2 linked regions of the Tribolium castaneum genome follow. The protein of the gene in region 1 binds, or shares a complex with, the protein of each later gene. Links are inferred from orthologs where the notes say so. Each region holds a gene or a part of one and is shown on either strand. Other genes may lie near its edges.

Region 1 (4,881 bases):
CAATTGGCGCATGCAAAAATCAATTAAAATTACCTCAAAACTGCTCTAAAACCATTGTCAAATCTCGAGATTTCAATTATTATGTCCAAATTAAGTTTATTTTTTAAGGGTAAGCACGCACGTAATACGCTGAATACGCTCAATCGTGCAGCGCCTAAAAATTTAATAACGAATAACGCATTTTGAGTTTTGAGCGTTTTTATTAAACAGAAGACGGTCGATGGTCGAGCATTGGTATCCTTCAAAAATACGCTGACACATCGGCCTACTCGTTTAAAAAACGGGTTTACTGTAAAATCAATTTTTTTTCCGTTATAGAAATTGTTCTTATAGTATATTAAGTATGGAGAACGGTAAGGGTTTGTTACTGTTCGACATGCTTATAACGTTTTTTGCACGATCGGAATCAGTATCAGTGTCAAAATTATAAATACATAATTTTTAAATAAAATGAACGTATTGAGATTACGAATTTAGACGGCTCTGTGTTACTATGGATTATTGCCAAACAAACAAAAATTGTGTTCTGCCAGTTGTCGATTAATTCGATAAAAAGTATTGATTGAAAGTGCAGCGGTGTTTTTTGATAAAGAATAATGAGCGATTCGGAAACAGAGAATTTGTTAGAAGAACCCTGGAATATTGGAATGATCGGCAATAATTCCGGAAAAAACAAAATTACGATATGAAAAATTCTTAAATGAAGCACCTGATGAAGAATTTTGATTAATAAGGTATAGTTATTCGCAAACTGCGATAAAAATACTACTGAACATTTTTAGCTCACTGTGATATTAAGAGTCTCAGGGACTTGTAGAAGAGAGGAATTATATAACATGACTATTATAATAATAGGAGTAATATACAACGGCCTCTGAGTTCTGTGACTAATGCAACTGATTCAGTTCTAATTGTGCGCAAACGAGTCGTATTACTATTAACAACTGTAGCAATTGTACTTTTCACTTTTAGTATGAATAAATAATTAATAAATTTTGAATTTTTATATTACTTTTACTTACCGTTCAGTGAACTTTTCTGACTCCTGTGAGTTCGCAGTAAAGCGATGGCAGTCCATTTATCGAACTCGCTGTATACAAAAAGTATGGATAAACTGTTAAATTTATTTGAAATTGAAATTATTTAAGCCAGCGTTGTAATTTTACTGAAAATATTGACCAATAATTTTAGTTTTATATATTTTTTAGGTATTGTGTTGCTATCCACAGTTTTTTTGGCTGATAAAAGGGTTTTTGAATTTTTTCGCTTCGGCCCAAAAAATATTTTTAGTATTTGACTCTTCATTTGATGACACTTAATTTTTTTTTAATTTTTCTTGTGACCAATGTGTGCCAAAGTTATCAAATTAAATTAAATTGATGCTTTTTAAAATATAAAGTATGTTTTGGCTCCCTCTCGGGTAAATGCAAAAGCAGGTGTATGAGAGGTAACTGTAAGTGCAGGGGAACTTTCTTCAGTTGTGCTGCTATCTGTTCGTTTTGCCGTTAACTACAAGGATTTAATTTACATTTTTGGTACTTAATTATCATTTCCTTATTCCATTATAATTATTTATAGAACACTGTATGTATCCCCCACTTTATAGCGTCCTTTAATGTTAAACAAATAAATATATTTTTGTATTTTTTTTCAAAAGCAAGTTCTCTTGTTTATAATCCGTAACAGTTTGTGTATTTTTTTTGTGGTAGACAATCGTAACGTTACATGTAGAAAAAAAAACAAGTACTTTAACACGATTTATTTGGTAAAAAATTAAATCTACAATACTTATTTACGTAAGTATCCGATCGTACATTTAAACTTGAATTTACATTAAATAATTAATCCTTCGTCTCTCCCTCCTCGTCCTCTTCTTCAGCCCCTCTTATGAACAAGACATTGTTACATCTAATTAAAACTTCCCCTAAGTTACCTGTAAAAAAATGTTACACAAGGGGGTCCGCCTCCAAAGCATAGTTACATACCAGTCATATTCCCATCAATAAATTCCTCTGTGTTTGCTAATTGTAAATTCATGTAACCATCAACTGAGACAAGGTAACCTTTATATTCGTGCCCCCACTTCAATTTTACCATCACAGCCTTGCCTGTTAGGCCGTTGAGGAAAGGTTTGGGGTTTATGGGCATTGCGGTCGACATGGTTGTTGTTTTTGTGTGCAAAAAATCGCAAATAAACTAAAAACGTTGACACAACGCTAACCAGCAAAAGTGAGGTTGGAATCGAGCGACAATTGTGTCAATTGTCAAAATTTCCATCCACCATCGACGTATAAAAAGTTGATGGGTGTCTGATTTTTTAGGGCGCATATTGTTTTTTTGTGATTCTTGGACTAAAATTACCGTAATTAAAAAAAACAAGGATTGTGGTCAATTAATGATTTATTGGCGTTAGAATAAATAACTGTGCGGGGGTTGATTGCCGGCTCTCTATTTTACCAAACCGAAAAATCATTGCCAACCCCCCAGTGCGAAAATCCGAAAATAAAAATTTGTGACATGTGTTTTACATAATTTCGTGGAAAAGACTGTGTTAGGGTAAGCCCCCTCTAGTAATAATCCGGCACTGGTGCACAGGCAATCTTAACAAAATCCTCGTACCGCACCATACTGTTGTTATTAACATTTGCCTCTCTGAAAATCCGATCAATTTCCTTGGCCGAAAGACACTCGCCCCAGTTTTGCAACATGTGACGCAGCTGCTTGGCCGGAATCACCCCTTTCCCCTCCGGGTCCCCAGCCTTGAAGGCGTCCACCACCTCCTTGGGCACGTTCTCCACCCGTGAGTGAATATGCATAACCTCCAAGAAGTCAGCAAAGCTCATTTTGCCGTTCTTTTGCTTGAAATAACCCGCAAGCTCTGAGATGGTGGGCGACAGCCCCAGACTCCTCATTATCACTGTGAGTTCGTCCAGGGACTTGATGTGCCCCGAGCGCGCAAACAAGTAGAAACACTCGCGAAATTCTACAAGATTTACGAGTTAGTTTGGGGGGCTATCACGGGGGTACCTACCGTCAATGTCTTGCTCCTTGAAGTAGCGGGCCTGAAACAAGCTTGATTAGGTTTGGGGTGGGTTTAGCGGGTTATTTTTACCATTTTTCTTGTAAATATTTACACGTCAATTGTATTATTATTATCAAGGTGAAACAGGTGAAAGTACAGTTAGCGTCACGAAATTTGGCACAGACTCGTCATTAATGAATTATTTATTTTTATCTCTGATAAAATGATGATTTTATCGCCCAATTGTGCCAGGTAATTGTTTGGGGCCCCGATTAGTGGGAGCCCTTAATCAGGGTTGTAAACCCCCCGAACGAATCGATTTATCGCCTCATTTCTAACGTAATTTATTAATAAATAAAGTTATATAACAAAACAGCTCGTCATTTGCGATAGTCTTATCACTCCACGCTTAGATGTTGTTAAATCCCCGTCCAATTAAAAAAAGGTAACACACTTTGAACTTTGCCTCCTTTCCTCCGACTCTCCTCTAATTCTTCATTCCCGTTCCAGTTGACCCAATAATGCCTTGATTAGTCTTCCAAAAAATGGCTCGTAAAAGCCATGACCCTGTTTCGAGTCAGCTGAGCAACACTCAGATCGTCCTCACTAGTCTGTGTGCGGGCGCCATAGCGGGGGCCCTCGCCAAGACCACGATAGCCCCCTTGGACCGCACAAAAATCAACTTCCAGATCAGGTAAGCCCCCACGTTTGGTACCCCTCTAACTGGCTTCCTGCAGCAACAAACCCTATTCAACTCGCAAGGCGTTCAAGTTTCTGCGACAAACGTACCACCAGCACGGGTTTCTGGCCCTATGGAGGGGCAACAGTGCCACCATGGTGCGCATTGTGCCCCATGCCGCCATCCAGTTTACCGCACACGAACAGTGGAAGAAAATTCTCAATGTGGACAATACAAACAAGTCCCCCAGGAAATTGTTCCTGGCGGGGAGTCTCGCGGGGGCCACTTCGCAATCTCTCACCTACCCACTTGATGTGGCGAGGGCTCGAATGGCTGTCACGAATAAGCAGGAATACGCGACTTTGAGACAAGTTTTTTATAAGATTTTTTACGAAGAGGGAATCACAGCGTTCTATAAGGGGTACATACCCACCATTGCGGGGGTCGTGCCCTATGCAGGGGTCTCGTTTTTTACTTATGATACCTTGAAAATGCTCTATAGAGGTAAGTAAGGGCAATAATTAGTCAAAATAGACGTTTTAATTTGCAATAAATCGCATAAAGCTGAAAATTACTGCAGGTTTTAGGTGCACTATTATTATTTCAAATAAAATAAATATAAAAAATCTCCGCCAATCCTACGTCTGCTAAAAAAAATATTCGTTGTCAAAAGATGTTTTTTTATTTATTTTTTCATCTGTTAAAAATTAATTTTAAGTAAGGAATTAATTTTTGAAAAATTATTTTTAAAATCTGATGTCTGATATCAGTGATATCTCAGAAATGGTGATTCGTACAAAAAGCTATAAGAACAATTTTTATAGATAATTGCATGATCTATTTTCGTCTGACCTATTTTTACGATAACACTTACCGTTTACGAGAAAAATAAAAAACGATATCCGGTGGGGATTTTTTATATTATTCATTTGCAGTGGGGTACCTAAGACCTGTACTAATTATATATTTTTTATGAGATTTGTGTCTATTTTGACCGGACTATAGTTTTTTTTTGTATTTTTTTCCAGAATATACGAATTTAGATTGTGATGCTCGTTTAAATCCTGTCATTAGTCTCGGTTTTGGGGCTATCGCAGGAATGTTGGGTCAGTGTAGTAGCTATCCGTTAGATATTGTAAGAAGACGAATGCAGACTGATACTCAAGGAAAATATAATTCA
Region 2 (6,113 bases), on another chromosome or scaffold:
CGTAACATATTGAACTATTCAAAAATTCTTTAGTAATTAAACACCTAACACCAGTACTGGTGAAAGCACACTGTAAACAGTTGCACTTATTGTTCAGTGTTGGTATTTCGTGGTGGTTGGGGACCCATTCTAGTGACTTTGGGTGCTTGATTTTTGAGAGTTGCGGGTGTTGCGTGAACAGGTCGTAGACGTCCTTAAAATTAATGCATTTGTTTTTATTAAGTTATTATAATTTTACTTAAAAAGTTATAACCCGCTATTTACATAAGACAAGGACAGAGCTATAGGAGTTCCGATAGGAAAGAGTGAGAGAGAAAGGGCGAACTATTTTTCGTAATACGAACTTGGGCGCGTTATAACTAATTAATTAGTTAAATACCTGGTTAACTCCAGTGAAAAAACTGGTCTTGAAGAACCTCGTAATGGGATGCGTGTATAAATAGGGCCACAGACTGTTCCAAAAAGCCGAGTCTCGATTAATAAAATCCTCGAAGAATTTTTGCCGATTTTCACTTTTGGGCAGCGTTTCGTGCGTCCAGCCTGGCGCGAAAATCGCCATTGATAAGTTGTGTCTCCTTATCATCTGGGCGGCCTTGAAACAGTTGAATTGACCGCCTCCGAAGGTATTGCGACCGAAGACATCCACCCCCACGTAAACGTCCAAAGTCCGATGCTTTGCAAATTCAATCGAATTGTGGATATTTTCCTCAGTCCATACGTAATTGAGGAAAATACCGTCACAATTATCGAAGAAAAATTTATTAAGGGGGTTGAGCTCATTTTGCCATTTCAATTCGCCCGTTTCAATGATACTGTCGTACCAGATGATTAAATGGTCGGGGTTTTGGGTGTGCGTTTGCACCCCTAAGTAGGCAACGAATTTTTTCAACATTTCGGTGTCTTGGAGCGAGTTTTCGATGTTGAGGAGCCACCCGTCGAATTGGAAAATTTTCAAAATTTGGGTCAAAGAAGTTGCGAAAATTCGCATCGTGTCCTCGTCTTTGAAAATCTTCTCGCAAATTTTTTTCCCCGGCTCGAATTCTGTTATCAAAGTTCCAAGAATTTTCACGCCGTTTTGATGCGCGGCATTTATCCAACACAAAGGTGGGATTGTGATTAGGTGGTGACTGAAGTAAACGAAAATATCGATGTGTTGCCAATTATAAAACGAGTACAAATTCCCGATGTTGCTACTTGACAAAAACCTGTCTTCCAAATAGCCACCTTTGTAGTCATGGCACACTAAAGTTTTGGGAACAAATCTCTTATCGAGACGCGTTCGTGGACCGAATTTTTTCGCATCGCAATGACAATCCGAAATTATGTTTTGCACTACTGTGGGGCTGCGCTCGGTCAAGGGCGCGACTCGGCTCACCCACTGGGGCGGGTTTTCGATCACTTCGGAGATGTTGTCCAATGATGTGATTGGAAAACACTCGAATTGGTTTAGTTTGAGTTTTTTCATGGCAGGGGGGCCGTCACTTTCTACAAAGAGATTTGAGACAACTGGAGGCGAAAAATGAGTCTTGTTACCAGTACTCATTATCGGTAATTGTAGGACGGCGGGAAACGGAAGCTGATAATGCGGGAAAAATTATTTCCGCATCCGGGGCCCCTGAAATAGCATCATAACCCAATTCTTATTTTTTTTTTTTTGAATGACATAACCTCACTTTTTATCTTATTGTGATTACGCAGTTTTTATCGTACCATAGCGGTAATAAATTGGAGCTTGTAATTTATAAAGGTTTTTTTGCCTCTTACCGTTTTTAATTATGTGGAAAATGGGGGAAAAACAAGAGGTATAACCTCACTTTTTTTGTGGATTTTTTTTTCACATTTCTTTATTATTTATTAGCCAAGATCACTGAATGTAGCAATCGGGCCATTTCACTTCGTACTTATCAGTTTTATCACCTAGTGTTTTCCCATTGATCGACTGATTAAGGCCAGAACCTAACCTCGCTTTTTGCGATTCTTTGGTGCTTTTTCCTTGATTTGGGTCAACCGGTTTGTTTACAAATAACCCGCTTTCAATGTCAGGAATTTGGGACAAAAACTCGCCAATTTTCGTGATTATTTATTAAATATTCAAACAAATAGTAACATAAATAAATCAGTTTTCCGTCGCTTTTTCGTCTTCTGTTCACCTAATCGTGAAAGAACTACGAGTTACTTGGATTTGAGGAAGGAGGAGAAAACAAATTCGTCAAACAGCTAAATCGCGGGTACTTCTTTGGGTGACGTAATCGCGTCGTTGTTGATTTGGGGCCCGTCAACGCATTTCCAAAGTCCATAAGTCTTGCCAATTGTGGTTTGCCAAAGTCTTAAAGTGCCGTCTTCTGACCCGGAAGCGTACAATTCACCGTCGGGCGAGAATTTGACACAATGGACGGGGCCAAAGTGGCCCTTGAACGATTCGATTTCATTTCCAGTTGTGTAATCGAATTTGTAGACTTTCAAATCATCGCCACCGGCGACGAAAATCGTTTTGTCGGGGTGTAGCGAAGCCGAATTGACTGTCGTAGGAACGGAAAATTCTCTAATTTTGTTTAGAGATTCGGAGTCGAGGAATGTGACGTGATTTGAGTGGGTTACTGTGAGCACGGTGCCGTCTCTGGACACCTCAAGGCTGTTCGGAATCGACGGGAAGTCCATTTTCTGGACTTCCTGCAAAAAACTGTCTAGTATAATTATGATCAAGAGCGAAAGTTTTTAGACGGCCGGTCGTAGTAGGGCGACATCTTGCGGAATTTAATTTGTCAAAGTGACATTTACATTGTCAAAGTTGACAATTTTGCAAATTTGTTTTTTTATTTTTATAACGGCAATAACCTAGTAAATATTTGGAAACATGTATCATTTATCCCTTTCGAATGAAAAATCGTCTGATTAAAGCGGAAATTACATAATTTTGTTTTTTTTTCAAACGTTTTTTCTAAGTGTTTGAATTTGAAGTAGATTTAACTCGAATCTGGTCAATATTTTTTAAAGTAGCGACCGTCCGTCTAGAACAAAATTGACGTGGTTCGAGATTTGGTTACCTTTCCGGAACTCCGGTCCCAAACCCTCAAAGTCTTATCGTCCGCACACGAGACAAGATGCGTGTCATTCCTGAAAAAGATCACGTGTCTTATCCCGGAAGTGTGCCCCGTAAACTCCTCGGGTTCTGAAACAATAAATCAAATCGTTCCGATCAGAAAAGGAGCCAAGGCGAATGCGAGGCCACCTTACTCGCTTCGGGTTTATTCAGATCGAAAATTCGGACAATTTTTTCGTTGCTCCCCGTCGCCAATAAGGCACTGTCTTTGGAAAAGTTGACGCTTTTGACGATGTGTTTATGCTGGAAGGAGTGCAGTTCCTCGCCGGAGTTGGCGTCCCAGACCTTGCCGGTGAAGTCGGCGGCGCCGCTGGCGGCCTTGGTGGCGTCCTTGTTGAGCGCGACGCCCCAAACCGCCCCCTTGTGGCCCTCGAAGGTGCCGATCCAGTCGCCGGTGTCCCCTTGCCTTAGCATGGGTTTGCCGTCTGAAAGCGGCCTCGTACGGTGAATCCAGGCCAAGGTAAATGTCGCCGAAGGTAAAGTTTAACTTACCTTTGCATGCCGAAATTAGGAAATAGCCGTATTTTGTCACCGAACTGAAGTCGAGATGGACGACGGGACGAGTGTGGCCGCTACAGGTTAAGGGGGTTTGACGAAGATTTGCCATAGTTTTCTATTTTATTAGGTCAAACGGTACAAAAAAATTATACTAAAAACCTACACACCACACTAACACGAGGAGTTCAGAAAGCGAACTGAATTTGACAGCGTCAACAACAGCTGGGAAAGTGGCAATAAGGGACGCATGCGCGGGTGTATAATTGGTTACCTACCAATCACAAAAAAATTCATAACTCGGAAACTAAAAGTCGTAGAGCAATGCGGTTTGTTCCATTGAATTCAGCGGTTCATTTTCTGTATTATACCAACTTTTCATGAGATTTAAAATTTTCAATTTTTTTGCTCAAATTTCCTGAGTTATATTATAATACACTACTTACCTTCAAAGAGATGAAAAAAAAATTTTTTTAAACTGACTTCAGCAAATTTTTATGGACTTCTACATGTCTTAACAACCCACTAAAGTTGTTAAAGGTCCACAAAAAGTCCATATGTTCAATTTTTTGATGTTTGATTTTTTCAATTATCGTTGCAGTTTTTGTCGGTTTTGGGTACCCGGAACATTTCTCGAGCAATAGCTCCGGAACTATTAGAGATAACCCCATGAAGTGTATTATCGTTGGAAAGCTCTTTAAATTATCTTTTTTTTTCAAAAAAGATTATTCTTCTCCGACTAATAGTTTTCGAGAAAATTGCTGTTAAATGCAAAAATTGGTAAAATTTTAAAAAATTCATAACTAAAAAACTATTGGGAATTTGGCAATTTTCTCGATGCCAATTGATTCCCCGGATCATTTTGCATAGGTGTGGATCAAAACAGTTCCACTTTTTACAATAGTGTTTAGCCGTAAATGAGAAAATAAAAAAATTAAAAAAAAAGTTAACACCCCCCCCCAAAATCGGCCAATTTTTAAAGTGTCTCAAAATCAAAGGAAACCCATTCTGTCTTATAGATTTTGATGTGCTCTTTACGATCGAACAAACCGTTTTCTTCTAGCTCTTTTAGTTTGGCCGTAATCGGCGTTTGAAAATTGAAAAATTATTTGCGAGATATCGCCTTAAGTCCTATGCCATTTTGTAGAGTTTTTTATTCCGGTTATCCTCCATTTTTCCGTTTCTCGATATCTTTAATAGTTTCGCCGTAATTGACGATTGAAAATTGAAAAAAAGTGAAAACGGAAACCTTTTTTTGCGTTTTTCTCGGAAACTGTAAGACTTAGAGCAACGAACAAAAAACCATCTGATAGCGCTTAATTTTGTCTATTTTTTCGACCAAACCCGGAGCCGCTCCGGGCAACGGTTCCGGCTACAGAGGCGATCAAAGTTTTTCACTAAAAAAATTCATAAAAAAAAATTAAAAGTCGTAGAGCATTGCGGTTTATTCGATTGAATTCTACGGCTCATTTTACATATTATATCGATTTTTCACAAGAATTAAAAATTTAAAAATTTTTGCCTAAATTTAGGATAGCCATTTGTCATAGTGAAAAATTTTATTCATTAAAAAAATTCATAACTCGAAAACTAAAAGTCGTAGAGCAGTGCGGTTTGTTCTATTGGATTCAGCGGCTTTTTTTCTTTATTATACTAATTTTTCACGCAATTTAAAATTTTCATTTTTTTTGCTCAAATTTCCTGAGTAAAACACTACTTACCTTCAAAGAGATGAAAAAAAAATTTTTTAAACTCACTCCAGCAAATTTTTATGGACTTCTATATGTCTTAACAACCCACTAAAGTTGTTAAAAGTCTACAAAAAGTCCATATGTTCAATTTTGTGATGTTTGATTTTTTCAATTTTCGTCGCAGTTTTTGTCGGTTTTGGGTACCCGGAACATTTCTCGAGCAATAGCTTCAGAACTATTAGAGATAACGCCATGAAGTGTATTATCGTTGGAAAGCTCTTTGAATTATCAATTTTTTTCGAAAAAGACTATTTTTCTCCGACTAATAGTTTTCGAGAAAATTGCAGATAAATGCAAAAATTGGTAAAATTTTAAAAAATTCATAACTAAAAAACTGTTGGGAATTTGGCAATTTTCTCGATGCCAATCGATTCCCAGGATCATTTTGCCTGGGTAAGGATCATAATAGTTCCACTTTTTCAAATAGTATTGCCGTAATTTATTTTACTTTTAATTTGAAAAATGGTGGAGGCGCCGAGTTATTTTTCAAAAATTCATAACCCAAAAACTAAAAGTCGTAGAGCAATGCGGTTTGTTCCATTGGATTCAGCGGCTCATTTTCTGTATTATACCAACTTTTTACGAGATCTAACATTTTAAAATTTTTTGCTAAAAATTAAGATAATCATTTCCTATAGTGGAAAATTTTATTCAACAAAAAAATTCATAATTCAAAAACTAAAAGTCGTAGAGCAATGCGGTTTGTTCCATTGGATTCAGCGGTTCATTTTCTGTATTATACCAACTTTTAACGATATTTAAAATTT

Evidence for each region.
Region 2: SmF (region 1) and wmd share a complex: the UniProt entries of both Homo sapiens proteins name them as parts of the SMN-Sm complex. The link is inferred for Tribolium castaneum from reciprocal best matches to the Homo sapiens genes SNRPF and STRAP.

What each region holds. Positions count from the first base shown.
Region 1 is NC_087398.1:3,705,107-3,709,987, forward strand, and holds SmF (small nuclear ribonucleoprotein F), read right to left. Parts: upstream 2,277-4,881; 5' UTR 2,161-2,276; coding exon 1,986-2,160; intron 1,934-1,985; coding exon 1,842-1,933; 3' UTR 1,745-1,841; downstream 1-1,744. Other genes in the region: calmodulin-like protein 4, read right to left, coding at 2,568-2,983, 3,032-3,062, 3,113-3,115; mitochondrial coenzyme A transporter SLC25A42, read left to right, coding at 3,568-3,716, 3,760-4,205, 4,730-4,881. UniProt on the Homo sapiens protein: Plays a role in pre-mRNA splicing as a core component of the spliceosomal U1, U2, U4 and U5 small nuclear ribonucleoproteins (snRNPs), the building blocks of the spliceosome.
Region 2 is NC_087399.1:1,127,520-1,133,632, forward strand, and holds wmd (serine-threonine kinase receptor-associated protein), read right to left. Parts: upstream 3,824-6,113; 5' UTR 3,708-3,823; coding exon 3,593-3,707; intron 3,526-3,592; coding exon 3,235-3,525; intron 3,170-3,234; coding exon 3,045-3,169; intron 2,671-3,044; coding exon 2,218-2,670; 3' UTR 2,068-2,217; downstream 1-2,067. Other genes in the region: ENGase (cytosolic endo-beta-N-acetylglucosaminidase), read right to left, coding at 1-193, 380-1,485, 1,534-1,543. UniProt on the Homo sapiens protein: The SMN complex catalyzes the assembly of small nuclear ribonucleoproteins (snRNPs), the building blocks of the spliceosome, and thereby plays an important role in the splicing of cellular pre-mRNAs.